Linked DNA regions of Elephas maximus indicus. The protein of the gene in region 1 interacts with the protein of each later gene in a pairwise test. Links are inferred from orthologs where the notes say so. Each region holds a gene or a part of one and is shown in the gene's direction. Other genes may lie near its edges.

What was found.
Region 2: the proteins of ZNF496 (region 1) and PGBD1 interact in binary tests that used the Homo sapiens proteins (3 or more experiments, as listed by UniProt). The two-hybrid records come from large-scale screens. The link is inferred for Elephas maximus indicus from reciprocal best matches to the Homo sapiens genes ZNF496 and PGBD1.
Region 3: the proteins of ZNF496 (region 1) and ZNF446 interact in binary tests that used the Homo sapiens proteins (3 or more experiments, as listed by UniProt). The two-hybrid records come from large-scale screens. The link is inferred for Elephas maximus indicus from reciprocal best matches to the Homo sapiens genes ZNF496 and ZNF446.

The regions. Positions count from the first base shown.
Region 1 is NC_064820.1:233,708,311-233,715,663, reverse strand, and holds the start of ZNF496 (zinc finger protein 496), read left to right. Parts: upstream 1-4,331; 5' UTR 4,332-4,420; intron 4,421-6,059; 5' UTR 6,060-6,177; intron 6,178-6,542; 5' UTR 6,543-6,579; coding exon 6,580-6,969; intron 6,970-7,353. UniProt on the Homo sapiens protein: DNA-binding transcription factor that can both act as an activator and a repressor.
Region 2 is NC_064819.1:79,716,968-79,724,688, forward strand, and holds the start of PGBD1 (piggyBac transposable element-derived protein 1), read left to right. Parts: upstream 1-4,625; 5' UTR 4,626-7,618; coding exon 7,619-7,721.
Region 3 is NC_064829.1:87,338,847-87,346,831, reverse strand, and holds the start of ZNF446 (zinc finger protein 446), read left to right. Parts: upstream 1-4,932; 5' UTR 4,933-5,867; exon of another isoform or gene 5,868-6,211; 5' UTR 6,212-6,343; intron 6,344-7,136; 5' UTR 7,137-7,137; coding exon 7,138-7,407; intron 7,408-7,985. Other genes in the region: ZNF324 (zinc finger protein 324A), read left to right, coding at 175-297, 1,086-2,545. UniProt on the Homo sapiens protein: May be involved in transcriptional regulation.

The DNA.
Region 1 (7,353 bases):
GGGCATCTCCAAACCAACAAGTCCAAAACCAACTTCCCCACAACCCTGCTTTTTCCCACTTTCCCATCTCAGGAGATGCCCCCCCACCCCCACCCAAATGAGGCCACAGCTACAGCATTTTTATTCCTTTAGCACCTCACAGGAAACCCCTGGTAACATAGTGGTTAAGTGCTACAGCTGCTAACCAAAAGTCAGCAGTTTGAATCCACCAGGTGCTCCTTGGAAACCCTATGGGGCAGTTTTACTCTGTCCTATAGGGTTGCTATAAGTCAGAATCGACCGCAACCGGTTTGGTTTGGTTTTGGTAACACCCCATAGCAATCCACCAGGTAATCTTCTCTGCTCTGCCTTCAACATAGAGCCTGAATCCAGTCACCTCACCTGCTCCACCTTGACTGGCCAGTTCCGAGTCACTACCATCTCTTGCCTGAATTTCTACAGCAGCACATAACGGGCAGCTATTTCTGCTGGGGTCCCTCCAATCTGTTCTCTACAGCATTCAGTTTAAAATGAAAGTCAGCCCTGGCCATGCCCTTCCTCGAAACTCTCTAGGTATAAAATCTAGTCTTCCCCCAGCCCACTGTCCTCGTCACCCCATCCCAGCCTTCCTGCCATCTTGGCTGTTCTTGGGCTGTGCTGAACACTCCTGGTCCACAGCCTTCACACCTTTTGCTCCCTCTGCTGAATCTTCTTCCTCACACATCACACAGCTTTCCCTCCACTTAGCTCTGCTCAAACGTTCTCTCCTCACAGCAGCCCCGCAACCACCGGCACTCTCCTTACCCTGTTTAATTTTTTTCATGACACTTATCACCCACTGACATTTTATTACATAGTTGTTTGTTCATGTCCTGATTTCTTTTCCAGCTCTTGAAGCTAGGACCTTTATTCTGTCCTCCCAAGGATGACACAATCATTGATTCACTGTAAGCATTTCATAAAAATATACAAAATCGGCAACATGATATAAACTAAACAAAAACATGCACATCGAGTGTGATGATGACCAACAATCACTGAGCAGGTCTTGGTGCTTTACCCGTGGTATCTGATTTAACCCCATTTAGTGCAGGGGAAAGACCTCCACATGGCTTCCAGTGCCCCTACCCTGAGGTCTATGAAGTCCTTCTCACCTCGTTCACTGCCCACCTGCCCATTTCGCTCACCACTGCACTCACCTGGGTGCCTTTGCTGTCACTGTGGCTTCCATTTGGGACACTGCTGTCTCAGCTATGAACTTGATTAACTCCCTCACCTCAAATGGCACTTTCCCAATGAAGCCTGCTCTACTCTTTAACACTGTGAATATCACCAACCCCTCTCCAGCACTCCCAGCATGAATTAAGCATGATAGACCATATTATTGAATTTGCTTATTGCCCCCTTCACCTCCCCTGCTAGACAGTTGTGTTCGCAGATGTATCCCAAGCACCCAGAGCAGGACCTAGCACTACAAGTGTTTAGTAGGTGTTCTATGCATGTTTGTTGAATGACTGAATGAGCCCTCACAGCCATCCAGCAAGGTAGATAGATAGCATCATCCCTATTTTCCGGACGAGGAAATGGAGGCACACTAAGATTAAATAGGCCAGAGATCATCTGGGTAGGAAGTGGCAAGACACAATTTAAATTCTGGTGACCCATTTCCGGAACCCAGACTCTTAAACATTGTGTTGAGATAAATGAAGGAAAAGAGCAAAGCGCGTATTCTAAATACAAAGGATTAACCTGTGGGGGCATGGGGGTTGGAAAAGAAGAAATAACTGCCAGAGAGGTGTCAGTTCAGAAGGTCTGGTCTGGGAAGTGGAAAGTGAACCCAATCTCTGGGTCTGCTTTTTATCTGTTTTAGGGCAGCAGTGGGCAGAGCTATGAGAGTCAGATCCCCAAACACTCCAGAACTCATTTCCTGACAGGTAACAGGGCTAGGAGCTACAGCAAAGGCTGCCAGGACAAATCCTATAGTCAGGACCTCCAGAGTGCCAGAAGATGGCCTGTTTCCTAAAGCAGCAAAGTCAGCTGTGTGGGGGGCCATGGTTCCTATCCAGACCTCTCCTCTAGGCCATGAACCTGACTGAAGCTTCTGAAAGGTTAAAAGCTGAGTACAATTAAGCCAGAAGGGGTAGTTCCTATCTCTGGCTGCCCTTTGGATTGTCCTTGGTTCAATGTTGTTCTTTCATTCCTTTGTTTTAGTACATCTGCTATCATCAGTACCTGGGCATTAGACAAACAGGAGATCTCAGTAACTCTGCTTGTCAGGATTGATTATTCCTGTGATTTAGAGGCCAAAATGGCGGCACCCAGACCAAGGAAATGAGAGGAACATCGCTAAGGGAGCTATCTGGTTCCTCGATCCAAACTGTGTCCTCTCCACACCCACTTGGCCAGGGTGACCTCTTTGTGGAGAACTGAATTTGACCTGCACACCCTTGAAACAGGCTCTGAAGGAAACCAGGACTACCCATAGTCCAGTCTCCCACTGGCTGATGGAGACTTTTCTCTGCTTTCTCTTCCATGAGTTCAACTTCAGTGTGGGGCAGGTGGTGGGAGAGAAAGGGGGGTGGTCTCCTGGGCATCAGATCTGCTCAGAGACCTAGGACACACTTTCTCCCAAGCTTTGGAATCTGGAAAATTAGGAATGAACCCAGGAAGACTCCTCTGAGCCTTTGGGCTATGTTCAGCATAGGGTGATAGCAAACAACTGCACTCATCTGTTACTGGTGGCTGTGTGCTTCTATGATGCTGAACGGCTTTCCACAGAGGTTCCAGCCTAGGAAGAAAGGCCTCATGACCTGCTTCCAAAAATCAGCCAGTGAAAACCCTACGGATCACAAAGGTCGGATGCCATTGTGCATGGAGTTGCCATGAGTTGGATGCAGTCTTGAGGGCAGCCTACAGCAGGGGTCCAGAGGCCCTAATTCTTCCTGGTCCCTCACTGCCACAAGACTTCAGGGGAAAATCCCATAATGACTTGCTCCCTCCTCCTCAGTTTAAACATCTGTAACCTTCACTGCTTAAGCCAGGAATGGGCACCCTGACCACCCACTGTGGGCTCCTCTGCCCACTCCACAAGGTTTCTCTGACGCTCAGAAGAACCATCTCTTGCTCCTTCCGTAAACTGTGAACCCCATCAAACGTCAAATGTCAGCAGTGTGTTCACCCCAAGGAAGACACAGGTTGAGACCTTGGGCCTCTGTCTTCATGGTGGAAGAATGCGGGGAGTGGGGGAGGGGATCTGAGTTCCTTCATTCCCGCTCCCCTCCTCGGCTGCGGCAGACCAGGCTTTTAGGAGGTGTTTTAACTGGCAAAGGGGTTAGGCCTGCGGGACTTGGGGTAGAATGGGGTGGCAGAGCGGCGTCCGGGGAGTGCAGAGAGGGATTCAGAAATGCGTCCCCCGAGGGAGAGAACAAGCCTTCTTCCTCCGCTCTCCCACCAATTCCGCATCCAGCCGCTGCTCCCGGATCGGCCCTTCCGGACGTCGACACTCCCGCGTTCCTCTGGAGAACCAGAAGGAGGGAAACAAGGGAGAGAGAAGCCGGAGCAGAACCTTCCCGCAGCAAACCGCACCAGCGCGCGCCCTCCTTCTGACCGCGGCCCCCGGCCACCCGAACTCCGCCACCGGCTCGCATGCGTCGTCCCTGGCAGCGCCTTCAACGCCCCCTGCCTCCCGCCCCCCACCGGCGCTCGCACACCCGGGCTCCGGGGAGCGGGTAGGCCCCGAGCCGCCGGTCTGCCCGGCGGACAAAGCCCCCCGCCTGGGCGCGGAGGCCAGAGGCGCGCGCGGGGCGGGGCGGGGCGCGCGGACCGCGGGCCCGGGCCGGGGGTGTCGGATGTCACCCCCGGCGCACACCTCGGCCGGGGGGCGGGGGAGCCAACCACTGAGATGCGAAGACCTCCCCGGTCCTAGAGCGGAGCAGGAAGTGTCCCAGGGGAGGGAGTCGGAGGGCTCTGGCCTTTCCTTTCCTCCGCGTCCTGCGGGCTCCGGCGACGGCCTGGCCTGCGCGGCCCGCGAACGGGGACGCGCCGCAGCGGTGAGTGCTGCCGTGCGGGTCCCAGCCGGCTCCCCCGGTCCCCGCACCCGCGCGCCTCTTTTCCGCGCGCCCAGGCCTGCGCCAGCGCCGCCCCCAGCCCCGAGCGCAGGGTCCGGGGGTCTGCGGGCGGGGGCAGAAAGCGGTAGAATTTTGTTTTTCAGGGGCCTCCATTTCCTCCCACCCCTTTCCTCCCGAACGAAGCCGTGGCTTTCTGGATGAGCAGGAGAGGGCGTTGTGGCTGGCCAGGGAAGGAGTCTGGTCCCTGCAGAGAATCCGCCTGAAGAAGGACACCTGGGAGACCGGGCTGGAAGGATGAGGAGGTGCCGCCGGGGACTTCCGCCGCAGCAGGAGGGATTTGAGTTAGACGCTGGGAAGGAGTTCCAGGCTGTGAGGTGAGGAGCGTGTGGTTAGTGACTGTGTGTGTGTGTAGAAGGGAGCGTGAGGGAGAATGGAATGAAAAGCTCTCTCCTTTCCTTGGCCTAAAATGCCCTCCCCTTTCCTTTCTGCTGTTGCCGGTCTGTCCCTCCTCCGAGAGCTGGCTTAAACACGCCCAATCCAGGAGCCCTCCCCCGCTAACCTTAGTTCTTTGCGTCTCCTACACGCCAGGTGCAGGGTGACAAAGAGGAACAAGCTGTCTGGTTAGAGATAAGGTCCACAGAGCACCGAATGGGCAGCCACACAGCGGGGCCTGGGGTGCTGAGGGTAGGCACTGGGTTCTCCCAGGGTGGGGGCAGACCTGAGGAGCCAAGGGGAGAGTGGGGAAGAGGGGCCACTAAGGTCCACAGAGCACCGAATGGGCAGCCACACAGCGGGGCCTGGGGTGCTGAGGGTAGGCACTGGGTTCTCCCAGGGTGGGGGCAGACCTGAGGAGCCAAGGGGAGGGTGGGGAAGAGGGGCCACTTTTGGCCAGGAGGGTGGGGAGAACCAGGTGGGGACCAGATTGGACTCTGGAAGAGACTCTGGAGGGAATCCAGCGGTGGGCTGAGCTGATAATGTGTTCAGTCAGGGGCCCTCCAAGTCCCCTTCTGCCAATTTGTACTTGTTTTTAGGTTGGAAAGCAAGAGGGTCCAGAGACTTGGTTTTTCTGATTGCCTCTCAGTGACTTTGCCATTTTTCTGGTTTCACTTGTCTTCCTGTGAAAGGGTGAGGTCCGTCACACCCCCTACCAGGAGACTGGGAAAGGAAGGCTGTGTGAGAGGCTGGATGTTAAGTTGCTCTGCTCACTGGGGTCCTCTTAGAGGTGAGGGCATGGAGGGTGAGTGACCAAGCTGGCAGAGAGGGACTGTGTGTGTCTCCATGTGTCCTTGACTTTTCTTGTGTCTTTCCTTGTGCTGCCACCCTGGGGGATCCCAGTCTTCGGTGCGTGGCTGTCCACAGGGCTCTGTGAACCGTTTTTTTAACCCGATAGCTTGTTCCTCTGGCACCCTGCACCTGTAGTCTGGGTCAGTGACTATATGTCACAGATAACAGCCTCTCTTGTCACCTTGTTTGGGGAGATGTAGGGGTCCCATCCCCTGCCATGTGGATGTGGGTACAGTTCATGGAGGGCTGAGAGCTGGGTTATGTGCTGTGCTGCTAAGCACCTTGCTCCCCTAATCGGCCTAAGGAAGGGCTGTGAGGGCAGTGCAGTTGCCTTGAGCAAGGTTTGAAGAGGACAAGGGAGAGAAGGAGGTGGAGGTAAAGTCGAAGGTCAGAGCACCTTTCAGTACATGCTAAAGTTTCCTATCAGACACTCAAATGAGTTGGGTGGCAGGCTGGTCCGAAAGCAATGATGCTTTAAGATATAGTGGCATTTCTCTCTGGTAAGTGCAGTCTGCAGCTCTCTTGTGACTCTTGTGATCTCTTGTCTGGGCATATTCTCGTCTGCCTCTTTTCCCCTGCAGGCTCTACTGGGGGCGGCCAGTTCTGGCTCTTGTGTGCACTCAGCTCTGAGCACAGGTGCCTGGCCCTCAGCTGTCAGCAGGGTGGATTTCCTGAACCTTGATGTGCTTTAAAGGCTCTTCCCTTGCATGTCTGCCTGTATTTTTCCAGCTCAGTTTGTAAAGGTCTTCAGCCCAAGGACGGTGACTTCTGCCCCAAAGCCTCAAGATAGCAGCCTGCTCAGACGCATCCATCTTGGGTCCTCTCCAAGAGGACCTGGCCACCGAAGGTACCAGAGAGCCTTAATTAACATCTCCCTCCTGCATGCAGCCCCTTTGGTCCTCTGGGATGCTTGGAAGGCCAGGGTCACATGGAAATGCCATCGCTTTTCTCCTGGACTCACTGCCTCGTTACCCCGATCATCTAGCTGGGGAATGCACACACAGTGGTACTGAGAGGGAGATGGGGATGGGGATGGGTTCTTTCTGTCCTTGTGTGTAAGGACCAGTCACAATGACACCCCTCACCTGGGAAATCCCAGGGCTTCTCCAAAGGGCTGATCTCTGTGGGCTTTGTCAGTTTTCCCATCAATACCCCCTAAAACTAACGCAGGAGACCAGAACATTGAAGCCAGCGATTTCTGTTTGGAAATAGGGTCGTCTTCTGCTGCTGACCCCCATCAAATCCCATCATGCCCACAGCCCTGTGCCCCCGAGTCTTGGCTCCGAAGGAAAGTGAGGAGCCCAGGAAAATGAGGAGCCCACCTGGAGAGAAACCTAGCCCCCAAGGAGAGCTCCCCAGTCCAGAGTCCTCCCGCCGCCTGTTCCGTCGCTTCCGCTACCAGGAGGCGGCAGGTCCCCAAGAGGCCCTGCACCGCCTCTGGGACCTTTGCCGGGGCTGGCTGCGGCCTGAGAGGCACACCAAGGAGCAGATCCTGGAGCTGCTGGTGCTGGAGCAGTTCCTGGCCATCCTGCCCCGGGAGATCCAGAGCTGGGTGCGGGCCCAGGAGCCCGAGAATGGCGAGCAGGCTGTGGCCGCAGTAGAGACAATGGAGCAGGAACCGGGCAGACCCTGGCAGTGGGTGAGCAGAGGGAGCTGGCTGGGCTGGGAGATGGGACAGAGAGTGGGGCTGAGAACAGGTGTGCTGATGGGGATAACCGTTCCCCAGCCGAGGTTGTGGAGTCCTGTCTACAACCAGGACGTACCTCTGTTAAGTCCAGACTAGACGTCAGTTTCCCGAGAAAGCAAGTTTCTTTCCCCAGAGGCCCTAATGTGGTGCCCAACTTTGTCGTCTCCCTTTACATCCCTGTCCACAGTTTGTGCTTAGCCTCTGGCGGTCAGCTATGGGGTCGATGGTCGGCAGGCCCAGGGAAGGGAGGGAGCGTGCCCAGCCGCTTGCAGAGCAGGGCTAGTCCTACCGCTGGCCTGGGACCTCTCCACCTGAAAAGCCCTCTCTGGGATTATA
Region 2 (7,721 bases), on another chromosome or scaffold:
TTGTGTTTTTCAGATTAGTGTCAGCCTTGTTGGGGTGAGGTGGTATCTCATAGTTTTGATTTGAATTTCTGTAATGGCTAACGATTGTGAACATTTCTTCATGTGTCTGTTAGCCGCCTGAATGTCTTCTTTTGTGTCTGTTCATATCCTTTGCCCATTTTTTAATTGGATTATTTATTTTTTTGTTGTTGAGGTGTTACAGTATCTTGTAAATTTTAGAGATTAGACGCTTATCAGATATGTTCTAGTCCAAAATTTTTTCCCAATATGTAGGTCCTCTTTTTACTCTTTTGATGAAGTCTTTCAATGAGCATGAGTGTTTGACTTTTAGGAGCTCCCAGTTATCTAGTTTCTCTTCTGGTGTCTGTGCATTGTTAGTTATGGTTTGCATACTATTTATGCCATGTATTAGGGCTCCTTGCATTGTCCCTATTTTCTCTTCCATGATCTTTATTGTTTTAGATTTTATATTTAGGTCTTTGATTCATTTTGAATTAGTTTTTGTGTATGGTGTGAGGTATGGGCCTTTTTCATTTTTTACAGATGGATATCCAGTTGTACCAGCACCATTTGTTAAAGAGACTGTTTTTCCCTCAATTAATGGACTTTGGGACTTTGTCAAATATCAGCTGCTGCTAGGTGGATGGATTTACATCTGGGTTCTCAATTCTGTTCCATTGGTCTATGTGTCTGTTTTTGTACCAGTACCAGGCTCTTTTCACTACTGTGGCAGTATAATAGATTCTAAAATCAGAGAGTGTGAGGTCTCCCACTTTGTTCTTCTTCAGTAATGCTTTACTTATCCAGGGCCTCTTCCGTTTCCATGTAAAGTTAGTGATTTGTTTCTCCATCTAGTCAAAAAAAATGCCCTTGGGATTTGGATCGAGGTTGCGTTGTATCTGTAGATAGCTTTGGGCAGAATTGACATTTTCATAATGTTGCATCTTCCTATCCGTGAGCATGGTATGTTTTGCTACTTATATAGGTCTCTTTTGATTTCTTGCAATAGTGTTTTGTAGTTTCTTTTATGTCTCTGGTTATTTATTCCTAACTACTTTATCTTCTTGAAGCTATTGTAAATGGTACTGATTTGGTGATTTCCTTTTTGAAGTTGTCTTTGATTTTGGTATGTTTATCTTGTATCCTGATACTTTGCTGAAATCTTCTATTAGTTCCAGTAGTTTTCTTGTGGATTCTTTGGGGTTTTCTGTACATAAGATCATATCATCTGTGAATAGGGATGCTATTACTTCTTCCTTACCAGTTTGGATTCCCTTTATTTCTTTTTCTTGCCTTATTGCTCTGAGTACAACCTCCAGTACAATGTTGTGTAAGAGTGGTGATAAACGGCACCCTTGTCTGGTTCCCATTCTCAAAGGGATTTCTTTCAGTTTCTCTCCCTTTAGAATGATGTTGGCTGTTGGCTTTGTATAAATGCCCTTTATTATGTCAAGGAATTTGCCTTCTATTTTGCAGAAAGTTTTTGTCAGGAATGGGTGTTGGACTTTGTCAAAGGCCTTTTCTGCAATAATTATAAGATGATGTGGTTCTTATCTTTTGTTTTATTTACATGATGGATGGCATTGTTTTTCTAATACTGAACCATCCCTGCATACCTGATATGAATCCCACTGGGACATATTGAATTATTTTTTTGAAATGCTGATGAATTCTATTGCCTAGAATTTTGTTGAGGATTTGTGCATCTATGTTCATGAGGGATATTGGTCTGTAATTTTCTTTTTTTAGTGGTGTCTTTGCCTGGCTTTGATATCAGGGTTATGCTGCTTTCATAGAATGAGTTCGGGAGTATTCCTTCCTTTTCTATACTCTGACATACCTTTAGTGTTATTGGTGTTTTCTCTGGAAGTTTGGTAGAATTGTCCAGTGAAGCCATCCAGGCTTAGGTTTTTTTTTTTTGTTGTTGGAAATCTTTTTTATTACCTCTTCAGCCTCTTCTTTTATAATAGGTTTATTTAGTTTTTCTACCTCAGTTTGTTTTAGTTTATGCCAAGAATGGAAGACAGCTACTTGGCCAACCGACTGGAAGAGATCCACAATTATGCCTGTTCCCAAGAAAGGTAATCCAACCGAATGCGGAGACTGTGGAACAATATCGTTAATATCATACACAAGTAAAATTTTGCTGAAGATAATTCAAAAGCAGCTGCAGCAGTATATCGACAGGGGACTGTCAGAAATTCAAGCCAGATTCAGAAGATGACATGAAACCAGGGATATCCTTGCTGATGTCAGATAGATCCTGGCTGAAAGCAGAGAATACCAGAAAGATGTTTATCTGTGTTTTATTGACTATGCAAAGGCATTCGACTGTGTGGATCATAAAAAATTATGGATAACATTGCAAAGAATGAGACTTCCAGAACACTTAATTGTCCTCATGAGGAACCTGTACATAGATCAAGAGGCAGTTGATTAAATAGAACAAGGGGATACTGTGTGGTTTAAAATCAGGAAAGGTGTGCGTCAAGGTTGTATCTTTTCACCATACCTATTCAATCTGTATACTGAGCAAATAATCCAAAAAGCTGGACTATATGAAGAAAAACGGGGCATCAGGATTCGTGGAAAACTCATTAACAACCTGTAATATTTGGAATATGCAGATGACACAACCTTGCTTGTTGAAAGTGAGGAGGACTCGAAGCACTTACTGATGAAGATTAAAGAGCACAGCCTTCAGTATGGATTACATCTCAACATAAAGAAAACAAAAACCCTCACAACTGGACCAATAAGCAACATCATGATAAATGGAGAAAAGATTAAAGTTGTCAAGGATTTCATTTTACTTGGATCCACAATCAATACCAATGGAAGCAGCAGTTAAGAAATCAGAAGACACTTTGCATTGGGCAAATGTGCTGCAAAAGAATTCTTTAAAGTGTTGAAAAACAGAGATGTCACCTTGAAGACCAAGGTATGCCTGATCCAAGCCATGGTGTTTTCAGTCGCCTCATGTGCAAGCCAAAGCTGGACCATGAATGAGGAAGACTGAAAAAGAACTGATGCCTTCAATCTGTGGTGTTGGCGAAGAATACTGAATACTCCACCGGCTGCCAAAAGAAGGAACAAATCTGTCCTGGCAGAAATACAGTCAGAGTGCTCCTTAGCAGCAAAGATGGCGAGACTATGTCTCACATACTTTGGACATGTTATCAAGACAAATCAGTCCCTGGAGAAGGACATCATGCTTGGCAAAGTAGAGGGTCAGTGCAAAAGAGGAAGACCCTCGATGAGATGGTTTGACACAGTGGCTGCAACAATGGGCTCAAGCATAACAACAATTGTGAGAATGGGCAGGTCTGGGCAGTGTTTCTGATTTTGTGAACAGCCATGTTCATCTCCTTTGCTGATTTTTCTATTTCGCTTCTCCTTTTGCTTTTAAGGAACCCTGGTGGCATAGCAGTTAAGTGCTACCGCTCCTAACCAAGGGGCTGGCAGTTCAGATCCATCAGGTGTGCCTTGGAAACTCTGTGGTGCAGTTCTACTCTGTCCTATAGGGTCGCTATGAGTAGGAATCCACTCAACGGCAGTGGGTTTGGTTTGGTTTTTGGTTTGTTGGCGCAATGGTTAAGAGCTGGGCTGCTAACCAAAAGGTGGGCAGTTCAAATTCACCACTGCTCCTGGGAACCCTATGGGGCAGTTCTACTCTATAGGGTCACCGTGAGCAGAAATCAACAGACTCCGCAGCTCCGGTTTGGGTTTTTGGGATCCTTTAAACCTCAATGCCCTTAAAGTTGAAATAGGAGCACTGTGTGCCAAAATTTTATGTGCACATGTCCTTTGGGGGAGTGTTTTTTTATGTCCTTTGACCATCCAGTTCCAATGTGTGGAATGTGTCCTAGAAATATAAAAGAATATATTCAATTTTGTTCTCTCCAGCATTGTTTATAAAGAAAATAACATAAGTATACCTCAGTATACTTTTTTTTTTTTTTTTACCTCAGTAGGCACAGTTAAGTAAATTATGGTACAGCCATACAATAGAATACTATTTAGCTCATAAAGGATAAGTTGCTATGGAAAGATCTCTAAGCTATCTTAACTGAGAAATCTAAGGTGCAAAATTATACAGTGATCCCATATTTTAAAATGCACGGATATATACTTATTCACTAAACAAATATTTATGAGTACTATTTTTTTTTTTTTATAGGGTCTCTGTAAGTAGGAATCAGCTTGATAACGGGTTTGGTTTTCTTTGTTTACTTTGTGGTAGGTAGGGTCCTCGAAAGATATACACAGAAAATAGTTAACTCTGGTGAGTGGGACATTTATTTTTCATTATCTCCATGTTAGTTGAGTTTTTATTGTACATACACAACCCGTAAAATTTTTTTAAATTAATTTTTGCTGCTTGCTGTATTTTAATTGATTACTGATTCGTGTCCCACACTACTAGCCCGTGAGGACCCCAAACAGAGACTCGGTTTTGTCTTTACCACCTTGTTGGTTTAAAATAAAGAGCTTTTAACTGAAATGATTTACATAAACGAGGTGAGCTGCTTGTCCGACCCCCGGGGGCTGGGTTCTGGGGGCTGAGGGAGGCCTGGGCGAGGCGGGAAGTGCGTTGCGTCTCTCCCGGCCCCTTCCGCCCACCAGCGTCTGCCTCCCAGGTCCCGGCCGTCAGCTGCAAGCCTTGCTCTGTCAGGATTTCGAATCGTTCTCACTCTAGTGTGAAGGGGCCCCGGGGAACCTTCGGAGAGTCAGCGGGCGCCCGAAGGAGTGGGAGAGAGGGTGCGAGGCGGACCCTGACCGGGCCAGACTGCCCTGGTAGCCTCCTGCCCGCGCGCCAGGCGCACCAGAGAGACGAGCGGCTGCGCTCATAGAGCGGCGCGGGACCCGCTGGACGCCGCGACTCCGCCGCCCGCGCGGGGCTGGGCCTGCGAGGCGGGACGGCGGGCCGGGGCCCGGGGCGTCTCCGGGGGCACCCCGGCGGTGCGAGGAAAAGCCCTCGGCCCCCTGGCCCGCGGCTGCTGGAAGTGCTGGCGAGACCCGCCGGCTCTGCGAGGCGCCGCGGCCCTGGCTCCCAGAGGCCGGCCTGCACCTACAGGTGTGTGGGGACTCCGGACCCAGCGGCGCCGCGGGCAGCGCGGGAGCCTTTCGCGAGGCCGGGCATATCTTTGTTGTACACTTTCGCTGAACCTCTGGTCCGTTAACCAGCAATTAGACAAGCATTATTGAGTGTCCATGGTGTGCCAGACTCTGCGCTAGATCCTGGGGTGCAATCTCAGTGAGATACATTCCGGGCCGCCTAGAGTGTCTTGGCCGCTGGCATCTCGTATACGTCTGTGTGCGCTCACCAAGAAGTTCACCGATATTTGTTGAATACCAGGTACGTGTCGGGCATGTAGAGGCCATGCAGAGATAAACCCCGGTCCTCAAGTAAGCTTATTCCTCCTTGGCAGTCGGGAAAAGAGGGGGATGTCAGGAATACGAGAGGAAATGAGAGGTGCGTTAGGACTGGGCTTACTTTTCCATGGGAACATCCCATCTCCACCATTGTGGCTTAGAGGGCAGAATAGGTGGCTAGGAAAAGTTTTACGGAGGAGGTGGCATTTGCTCGGGGCCTTGGGAATTTACCCTGTCAGAAGAGCAGTCCTGGCCATAAACTACAAGGCAGGTGGAGAAAACTGAGTAGTCCCCACAGTAGTGGCATGAGGAGTTTGGGAAGACTTTGGTTTCCTTGAAGGTAGGGATTCTGTTTTTATTCCAGGGTTAGCCTTATGCATGGAAAACAGTGAGGTGTTCAGTAAATTTTTATGGAGTGACAAACAAACCAGCAAAACCCAGTAAAGATCACATCCTGGGATGCCTAAAATTGCGTTCTAGAGAGTTTGAATTTAGTTAGTTCAGTGAGGAGCAATTGAAACCTTTTTTTTTTCCCCCCTTGAGGCATTGTTGAATACAGTCAGAATTGGGATTTAGAAAATAGTAATCGAGTGCAGTTTTATTCTGACACCATAGGGTTGCCATGAGTCAGAATTAAACTCCCTGGCAACTGGTTTTGGAGTTTATGGGTGGCTCAGATGCTGGGCTGCTAGTAGAAAGGTTGAAGGGTTAAGGTTTGAGTCCACCCAGAGGCACCTGGAAGCAAGGCCTGGCGATCTGCTTCTGAAAAATGAGCTGTTGAAAACGTTGTTGAGCACAGTTCTGTTCTGACATACATGGGTTGCTATGGGTTGGAATTGACTGGATGGCAACTGGTTTGGTTTTCATTTAACAATTGATTGTGGGGTAAGTCAGTAATATCACACAAAAAATTATTGTAATAGTGAATGTAAATGATAATAATAAGAGAATAAAAAGGAGGAATGGCTACAAGAGGCATTTTGGGAGAAAGAATTGACTAGACTCAGAGTGATTGGGTATAGGAACCGGTTTCAAGCCTGAGAGCATGGAAGATGGTAGTGACATCAATAAAAATGGAGAAATACAAAGCAAGTGCAGCTTTGAAAGGACTCTAGTTTGGGGGTATGTTGAAATTGTGGGGCAGGAGAGGCCTATAGCTGGAGGTATCCCGCTGGCAGTTCGAGATGTGGGTCTGGAGTGTGAAAGACAAGTTGGAGCTAGACATAGATTTGAGTGTTCTTGAGATGGCAATGTACTGAAATTGTGATTGATGAGATCACAAAAAGAGAAAGTGAGGAGAAAGAACAAAATAACTTGAAGCATGTCTACTGTTCCAGTCATGTATTGTTGCATAAGAACATAAAAAATAAATAAAAACTTATTATTATTTCTCCTGATTCTGTGGGTTAATTGGGCAGTTCCACTGCTGTGGTCTCACCTAGAGTTACTTCTATGCCTGCATTCAGCTGGTGGCTCAGCTGGGGACTAGGTTCTCCTGGGTATTGACTGGGGCACCTTGGCTCTCATCCACATGACTACTCTGCATGACTAGCTTGGGCTTCCTCACAGTATGGCAGTCTCATGGCAGTGTGCCAAGAGTTATAAGGCCACTTCCTCTTATAATGTCATTTTTGTCACATTTTATTGGTGGAAATAAGTCATAATCCAGCACAGATTCAAGGGAAGGAGAAATAGACTCACCTTTTGATGTGAACAGTGGCAAAATCTCATTACAAAAGATATTTGGGGGTAGACGTTATAATTTCAGTCATCTTTGGAAATAGTCTACTGTACCTACATTTGAGGTGGAATATTCAGTGAGAGATACACAGAGATAGATGACTTTGAGAATATAGTATCTGTCATGCAGGTAGCCACCTGGCTCCTTCATGAGTAAAGTTATCTCCCTTTCCTAGCTAAAATGTAAACTGCTCAAGCACTCTTAAAAGTCTAATAAGCCCTTCTTCCCTCATATTTCACATCCTTTAGCTCTTGGCTGGACCCCCTCAGGGTTGAAGATGTACTTCTGATTAATTTCACTGATAAAGATAGGCAAACGGGCTCAGCTTTTGAACATGACCTACTGTGGGGACAAAAATATTACCATGTGGTGTAGCGTTTTGAAGCTCTTGTAATTTTCATGTTACTGACACATTCTCATGCCTCAGATAGACATTTAGAAAAACATTTCTGAACTGTAAACCACAGTCAAGTGATCCCTGTTCTAGCATCTAAGCTTAACATGTATGAAGCTTCAGGCCCTGCTCCTGAAGATGAAGAAGGCCTTGTGAAAGTGAAGGAGGAAGATCCCACATGGGAACAGGCATGTGGCTTACAGGAGAGCA
Region 3 (7,985 bases), on another chromosome or scaffold:
CTAGGGGGACAGCTAGGCTGTTACTGTGAACCCCACCCCATGGTGCATGGCAAGACATGATATGACCCTTGGGTTTCCTGGTTACACAGATGACACGAGTTTCCTGCTATCTGTTGAGAGGTGAATTGTCCTGAGCAGGGGCCAGCCCCTCTCCCGCCTTGTCCTCCCCCACAGGGCTTGGAGCTTCCCGACCCCGAGTGGTTGTCCAGCTTGAGCGTGGCAAGGAGCCCTGGGTTCCCGATGGGACGGACACGGCCCCAGTCACAGCAAGGGAAGTCCAGGGGAGGCCTAGCCCTGGTGAGTGGGGGCTCAGGGTGTGGGTGAGCTTGGCACTTGACTTGGCTGAGCCTCCATCTCCCTTTTCAGGCCCTTCCTAACACTCTCCTCTTCCGCCTTCCCGCCCAGCTTCCTCTTCCTCTCCCTCCACTATCCTCTCTTGGGAGCTCCCACCTTGGCTGCTCTTGAAGGTCAAGCTGAGGGTACCAAAGCTGGGTTCAGACACAGGTCACTCCCAGGCCATGGGGAGGCTTGTTAAGAGCCCAAGAGGGCTATACAGCCTCAAACCTTCCCAGTCTTGTTGCTGTATCTGTGGGTCATTGCTTCATTCCCTCATGTATTTGTTCATCAGTATTTCTTGAATACTTGTTGTGGCCACACATGTTCCAGGCACAGAGGACACGGCCTTGACCAGGACACTTGTAGCACTGTCTTTGGGAACAGCAAACACAAAGTCTGGGTACCATGAGGTAGTGCACCACCCATCTCCAGTGGTGACCGGACCTGGCCTGCAGCAGCTGCTCAATGGCTAGTGTCCTTCTCGGTTGGGGCCAGGGCCAACTCTGCCCCTGCCCCTGCATTCTGGGCTTCAGGGCTAGTGTCTTAACTATGGGGGTCCCAGATGCCATGGGTGGCATGCTTGTCACAGCAGATGCTTTTCTCAGCCTGGTCAGGCCTGGGCCCGTGCTTTTCTGCCTGTTAACACACCTACCTCCCAGGGTGCCCACTTTGCCCTGTGTGTTCTACCTGCCCTGGCCTCCGCCTCCTGGCTGGGATGACCCAGATAACCACCATTTCTCTGCTTTCAGGTCCGCGGTGTCCAGCAGATGATGGGGATGTTTACGGAAAAGCAGCATTGCTTGGGGCCTTCCTGGGTAGCCCCCCTCTGACAACGCCTCCCAGAGTCCTTCCCTCTCCTGGTGCCTGTGACCTGGGGAAAATCCTGGAGGGACAGCAGGGTGCCTTTCCATCTGGGGAGAGAAAATCCACTGGGGTGTCCATGATCTATTGGGAGAGGCTCCTGTCGGGCTCCGGCAGCGGGGAGGAGAGCATCAGCTTGAGGCTGACTGCACCCCTGAGGGCTGCAGAGGGCAGCCTGCCCAGGGGAAGGGCCCTCACAGACTGCCCAGTGCCGGGAAAGCAGCTGAGGGTGCAGGAGCAGCAGAAGTCACATATGAGGGAGGCTCCTGGAAGTGCCCTCCCTTGTGTCCCAGTTCACGCTAGGGGGGATCTTCCCACATTCAGGGAGGAAGAAATGGCAATTCTGACCAGCAACCCTCAGGCACTTCCCACTGGCCAGGTGGCCCCTGCTAGGGACGAGCTGAGGGAGGCCCTCCACACTGGCGCTTGCCTCCTCCCTGGAGATAAGCCCTTCGAATGCAGGGCCTGCAACAAGGTGTTCGTCAAGAGCTCTGACTTGCTCAAGCACCTGCGCACCCACACGGGGGAGCGGCCATACGAATGCGCCCAGTGCGGCAAAGCCTTCAGCCAGACGTCGCACCTGACGCAGCACCAGCGCATCCACAGTGGCGAGACGCCCTACGCGTGCCCGGCCTGCGGCAAGGCCTTTCGGCACAGCTCATCGCTGGTACGCCACCAGCGAATCCACACAGCCGAGAAGGCTTTCCGCTGTGGCGAATGCGGGAAGGCCTTCAGCCACGGCTCCAACCTCAGCCAGCACCGTAAGATTCACGCGGGCGGCCGGCCCTACGCCTGCGCGCAGTGCGGCCGCCGCTTCTGCCGGAACTCACACCTGATCCAGCACGAGCGCACGCACACGGGTGAGAAGCCATACGCCTGTGCGCTCTGCGGCGCTGCCTTCAGTCAGGGCTCCTCACTCTTCAAGCACCAGCGTGTGCACACGGGCGAGAAGCCCTTCTCCTGTGCTCAGTGCGGACGAGCCTTCAGCCACAGCTCCAACCTCACGCAGCACCAGCTGCTGCACACCGGCGAGCGGCCCTTCCGCTGTGGGGACTGCGGCAAGGCCTTCTCTAAGGGCGCCGTGCTCATCAGCCACCGCCGCATCCACACTGGCGAGAAGCCTTTCGTGTGCTCGCAGTGCGGCCGCGCCTTCCGCGAGCGCCCGGCCCTCTTCCACCACCAGAGGATCCACACCGGCGAGAAAGCTGGGCGGCGGCCCAGGGCAAGCACTGGACGGCCCCCTCAACCCAAGCCACTATCCATATTATCGGAGGGTGCGCAAGGGAAGGAAACCGATCACACTGCCCCCTCAGGCCCAGCCGCAGGCCCAAAGCCCATGGAGGCCTGAGATCGCAACTCCGACCTAACATGAACGCAGGGAAGGGAACCCCAGGCAAAGGACTACAGATCCACACAGGGGAGGAGCCCTGTGCCTGCGAGCCAGGGACGCAGGAAAGCTTTCGTGTGCACGTGGAGACAGGATTTGCTGCTTAGCCAGAGTGCATCACACCTGCTCCAACCCCAACACTGCACAGAAGTCACCAGAAGGACAGGGCAACCGGGAATTTGCTGTCAGAGCTGGAAAGGGCATGTTGGGGCTAGGATGAGGGCAAGGGTGAAGGGAGGAGGAGACTGGAAATCATCCCTGGGCTTTCTGGGTCAAGATAGCAGACTGGACACATTTCGTCTGTCTTGGCTCAGAAACAACACTAAAACCAGAAAAGAAAAGGCTTAAAACATAAACCCACAAGTGTGCGGATGGTGGAAAAGGGGCTAATAGTAACACCATTTTGAAGTCAGAAGCAGATGGGGATATTGTCACTAATTTAGAGAAAGCCAAATACAGCATTGGCACTGGAGGAAATGGAGGGTTGTCTAAGCAGGCTTATACTGCAGAATTCCAGCGGCTTGAGAACCAAAGTCCAGCACTTATGGAATGAGAAGCCAGGGGACCTACGACAAAGAAGACTGGGAGAGACATGAGAAGCAAATAAACAATAATTAGAACACTTGATCTTTCCCTACGTGGTGTGCAGTGGAAGATTCATCTCTGGGGATTCTACACAGTCTCAGAGAAAAAACGTAAGGATACTCCCACTGGGGTACTTTCCCTTCCAAAGGGCGTATGCTGATAATGCTACAGAGAAGCTCAAGGTTGACAAGTCCCACCCACACACAGGCACAGAGCTTCCAATCAGTGGAATTCATCATGGGATTATCAGAGGACACCAAAATGGAAACAATTTAGGGTTGGCTAAATAAGTCACAGTTCAGCACTTGATGTGGAGAAGCAAAACTGACCCTGTCCCACAGTCAGACTTAAACAGTTACATTGCCTATTGAGATGAACTAAAAATACTGCATGGTTTAGAGTCAGGAAAGGTGTGCATCAGGGTTGTATCCTTTCACCATATTTATTCAGTCTGTATGCTAAGCAAATAAAATGAGAAGTTTGACTATATGAAGAAGAATGGGGCATCAGAACTGGAGGAAGACTCATTAACCTGTGATACGCAGATGATACAACCTTGCTTGCGGAAAGCAAGGAGAACTTGAAGCACTTACTGCTGAAGATCAAAGACTACAACCTTAAGTATGGATTACACCTCAACATAAAACAAAAATCCTCACAACTAGACCAATAAACATCATGATAAATGGGAAAAAAATTGAAGTTTTCAACAATTTCATTTTACTTGGATCCACAATCAATGCCCATGGAAGCAGCAGTCAGGAAATCAACTGACATATTGCACTGGGTAAATCTGCTCCAAAAGACCTCTTTAAAGAGTTAGAAAGCAAAGATGTCACTTTAAGGACTAAAGGTTTGCCTGACCCAAGCCATGGTGTTTTCAATCACCTCATAATGCATGCGAAAGCTGGAAAATGAATAAGGCCGAAGAAGAATTGACGCCTTTGAGTTGTGATGTTGGTGAGGAATACTAAATATACCAGGGACTTCCAAAAGAACAAACAAATCTGTCTTGGAAGAAGTACAGCCAAAATGTTCCTAAGAAGGGAGGATGACAAGACTTCATCTCACATACTTCAGACATGTTATCAGGAGGAAACAGTCCCTGGGAGATCATGCTTGGTAGAGGGTCTGCAAATAACAGGAAGACCCTCAATGAGATGGACTGACACAGCAGCTGCAACAATGCACTCAAGCATGACAATGAACATGAGGATGTCCAGGACTGGCTAGGGTTTTGTTCTGTTGTACACAGGGTCACTAAGAGTCAGAACTGACTCAAAGGCACCTAATGACAAAAATAACAGGTCACCCTTCTAGTTCTGGTCCCCAAAATAAATGAAACGTTGAGCACCTCCCCTAAGTCTAGGCAAAAGCCTGCACTCTACTTCGGATAGCTGAAGGTATGATAATCATGGGACAAGTGTGCTACTTTCCTGCCACCAATGGGCTAATGCAATCTCAGTCACTTTGGTAATTGTGCAATTTTTGTTTGGTTTCTTTAAATACCTGCTGCATTCTGCAGGTTGCCCCTCTTTGCAAGTAAATTTCTTTTCCAAATGCTTTTGTCTCTAAGCTTTCCTTCTAAAGATATACAGGCTTGTGCTGCCTATCATGTCATGTTTACTGGAAATACTGAAATTAGTACGTAAATGTTTATTAGATATGAATATACTAGTTTAAGGGGTAAAAAACAGCACAGAAAAGCATCCGAGTTTGAAGAGTGGCAAAGTGGGTTGTGAGATTACTTTTGAACTTTTCTGTTTTCCAAAGTCACTACAATAAGCCCATATTGATTTTTTACTATAATCTTATAATATCAATTTTATTAAAAATGGTCTGAAGAATCATGGCACACAGTGAGGGCCTTATGTAACTGTTGAAGCAGTTTCCTCTTCAGTAAACTGGCGCCTACCGGAGTCCTTGTTACCCCGCACGTCCGCAGGGTGCTCAGTGGAGGTCAAATGTCAGGGCGGAGGAAGTCTACGGATCAGGACTGACGACCCGAGCCTAGCCATTCCCAAGCCCACTTACACGCTCGTCTCAGTCTAACTAGACGTAGCGGCGGAACCGCCACTTCCGGCCTCTCTAGGGGCCGGGGCGACTCTAGCCGTTGCCGTGGAAACAACTAGAGGCTGCAGAAAAAGCACTAGCAGTTACTAAGTGGACCGCTGGGCTGCAAGGAAGAAGCCTCACGGAGAGCTCTAGGGGAATGGCTCGGGCGAAGCGCCAGTTCTGACTGGTCAGGACGTCAGCCTCCTCGTCCGTCACCTCGCCTGCCAGTAGGAACCGGACCCGTTGTGCACATGCGCGATATGCCAAAGTACTGTCCAACTTGACAGTTTGTAAGTCCTGGGGTTCGGGTTTGAGCGAAAAGCGACCGCTGAGGGGGTGGGCCGCAAGCACTTTGTGACCCTTCGGGCCCCATCGTAAATGGGACACCTCTCAGGCATAAGAAGCCTCTGGAAATGAGCTCCCACTGGTCGAGACTGGGACTCCGCTTTTTTGCTGAGGCTCAAGGGAAACGTAGTCCGAAGGGAGAGGACGGTGCCTTTGGGGTAGGCCCCTGATTAGCCAGGGCAACGCGTGGGAGGGGCGAGTCGGTGCGTTCTACGCAAGCGCGTGGAGAATGGCGTGCGGAGCTGGCGCGGCGCCATTTCCCGGAAGTTACCTACGGGGCACCGGCGCCGCGGTAAAGGTGAGCGTGGCCTTTCCCACCCCCTGGAGCGGCGCGGGGCCTACTTTCGGGACCCGGCCGTCCCCTACGCTCGGCCTTGAGCGTCAGTTTCTGTCCCGACGTGCCGTGCGCGTCCGCACCATCGAACGTAGTCCAGGCCGTTCCTGCCTCCCATGAACACCATTCTGTATACCCGTACCTGGGCCCCCGCCTCCGTGAAGACCTCCTCCCTCCTTTCCCTTTTTGGGCGCCCGCAAGGGACAGACAGCAGAGGTCAAGGGCCCCTCGGACAGGCCGGAGGTTGGGCCTGAGCTGAACAAACCTCCTCCGAGCTTAATTTCCGGTCCATGCTTGACTTCTCACAGTAAAGCGAGCTGTGCCTACCTGATGAAGATGTGAGAAACGCTCGACGATTGAGAACTCGTTAGGATTCTGAAAGAGCTGGTTAAATTGCATCGAGTTCTGAACAGAGTTTTGTGTGAACGGAAATTTGCCAGGTGAGTGTAAACATTTTAAACGTACATTATTCACATTTTTTAAGTGTGATATTTAAATTCAAGAAATAGAAAATGCCATGTGATTTATTAATGGTTCCTTTCTTGTATCCAATGTCGATTTAAATGTACTATCACACATTGTACTTATATGTTTGAACTGGGTATTTATCTCGCAAATTTAAATGTTAACAAACATAAGCAACTAGTGGAAAGAAAACGTTTCCGTTCTGATAGAGGATTATTTCACTGAAAACAACTTGATGGCGTCACTATTAAGTGAGATTTTCTTCAAAAGGTGCCGAATAAACATACGAGAATGTTGTAAAGTGGGACTTTAAATGTAGGAAGTTAGCAAACCCTGTGAATGTAAAAACAAAGTTATTGCGTTTTTTCTAATATACTGACAGCTCGTGACTAGAACCGTTGTAATATGTACCGGCTCTGATTCATTTCTACAAATGTATTTATGCATTCTTTTTATGTCATCAAAGTTTAATACTCATTTTTAACGTAACGTGATAAAAACAAAACTGCTTGCCGTCAGATGGGTTTAGACTTATAGCGAGTCTATAGGACAGTAGAACTATCCCCATAGGGTTTCCAAGGCTGTCATCTTTACGGAAGCAGACTGCCACATCTTTCTCCTACACAGCAGCTGGTAGATTTGAGCTGCCAACCAGACACTTAGAAGCTGACCACTTTAATGACTGCGCCACCAGACCTTTTTAAATGTAATATGGTGACTATAAAATATGCTCTAATGTTAATATTATTTTTTGCCCTTGAATTCTAGTATGGGACGAACCAGAGAAAACCCATGTCGAGAATTTTTCAAGTATGAAAAGATTGAAAATAAAAGCACGTGTAAAATTTGCAACACAGATATGGTTGGAGACCATGCAGCGAATTTAGAGAGACACCTGAAGCGTCACCATACGGATGAGTACAATGCAGTGCAAAGCAAGAAGACAAAGAAGATTGAAGAAAGTGTCAGAAGCGTTCCGAATAAGCAACAAAAAACTTTAGAGGAGTTTATGGAGTGTGCTGTTCCAGAATGCCTTAAGGTGAAATTAGATGAACAAGTAATTGTTGATGCATGTGTTGAATTAGTTACTGTTAGGGGTTGTTTGTTTGAGTTAATTGAATATTCAGGATTCTGTAAAATTTTAAATCTAATTACAGGTACGTCTCCCATCCAAAAGTTTGCCTTATACCACTTCGTTTTTACAAAAGACCTACATTAGTACCTGTTTTCGCTAACTGAAAGGAACCAGAAGAGGATTTTCTCTTTTGGGAAAATAGCATTCTTGTATGTAAACAGCTAATTTGGGGGTGTGCACATGCTGCTGATTGTGGGCTTAGTAGGTGAAAACCAGGTCAGTGATGCTATATGGGTGCCAGTTCTCTGCAATCATCTTGCCAACTTTGGGGGTGCAGTAGTCTGGGAACTCGAAATACAACATGCCTGAAGGGGGTAGCAGGTCCAGGTCAAGGTCCAGTGCCCTCCATTCCAGGCTGGCAGGGCCAGGGGCCAGTGTCTGTAGTGCTGCTATAACAGAAATACCACAAGTGGATGGCCTTAACAAACAGAAATTTATTCTCTCACAGTCTAGTAGGCTGTAAGGTCAAACTCAGGGCATTA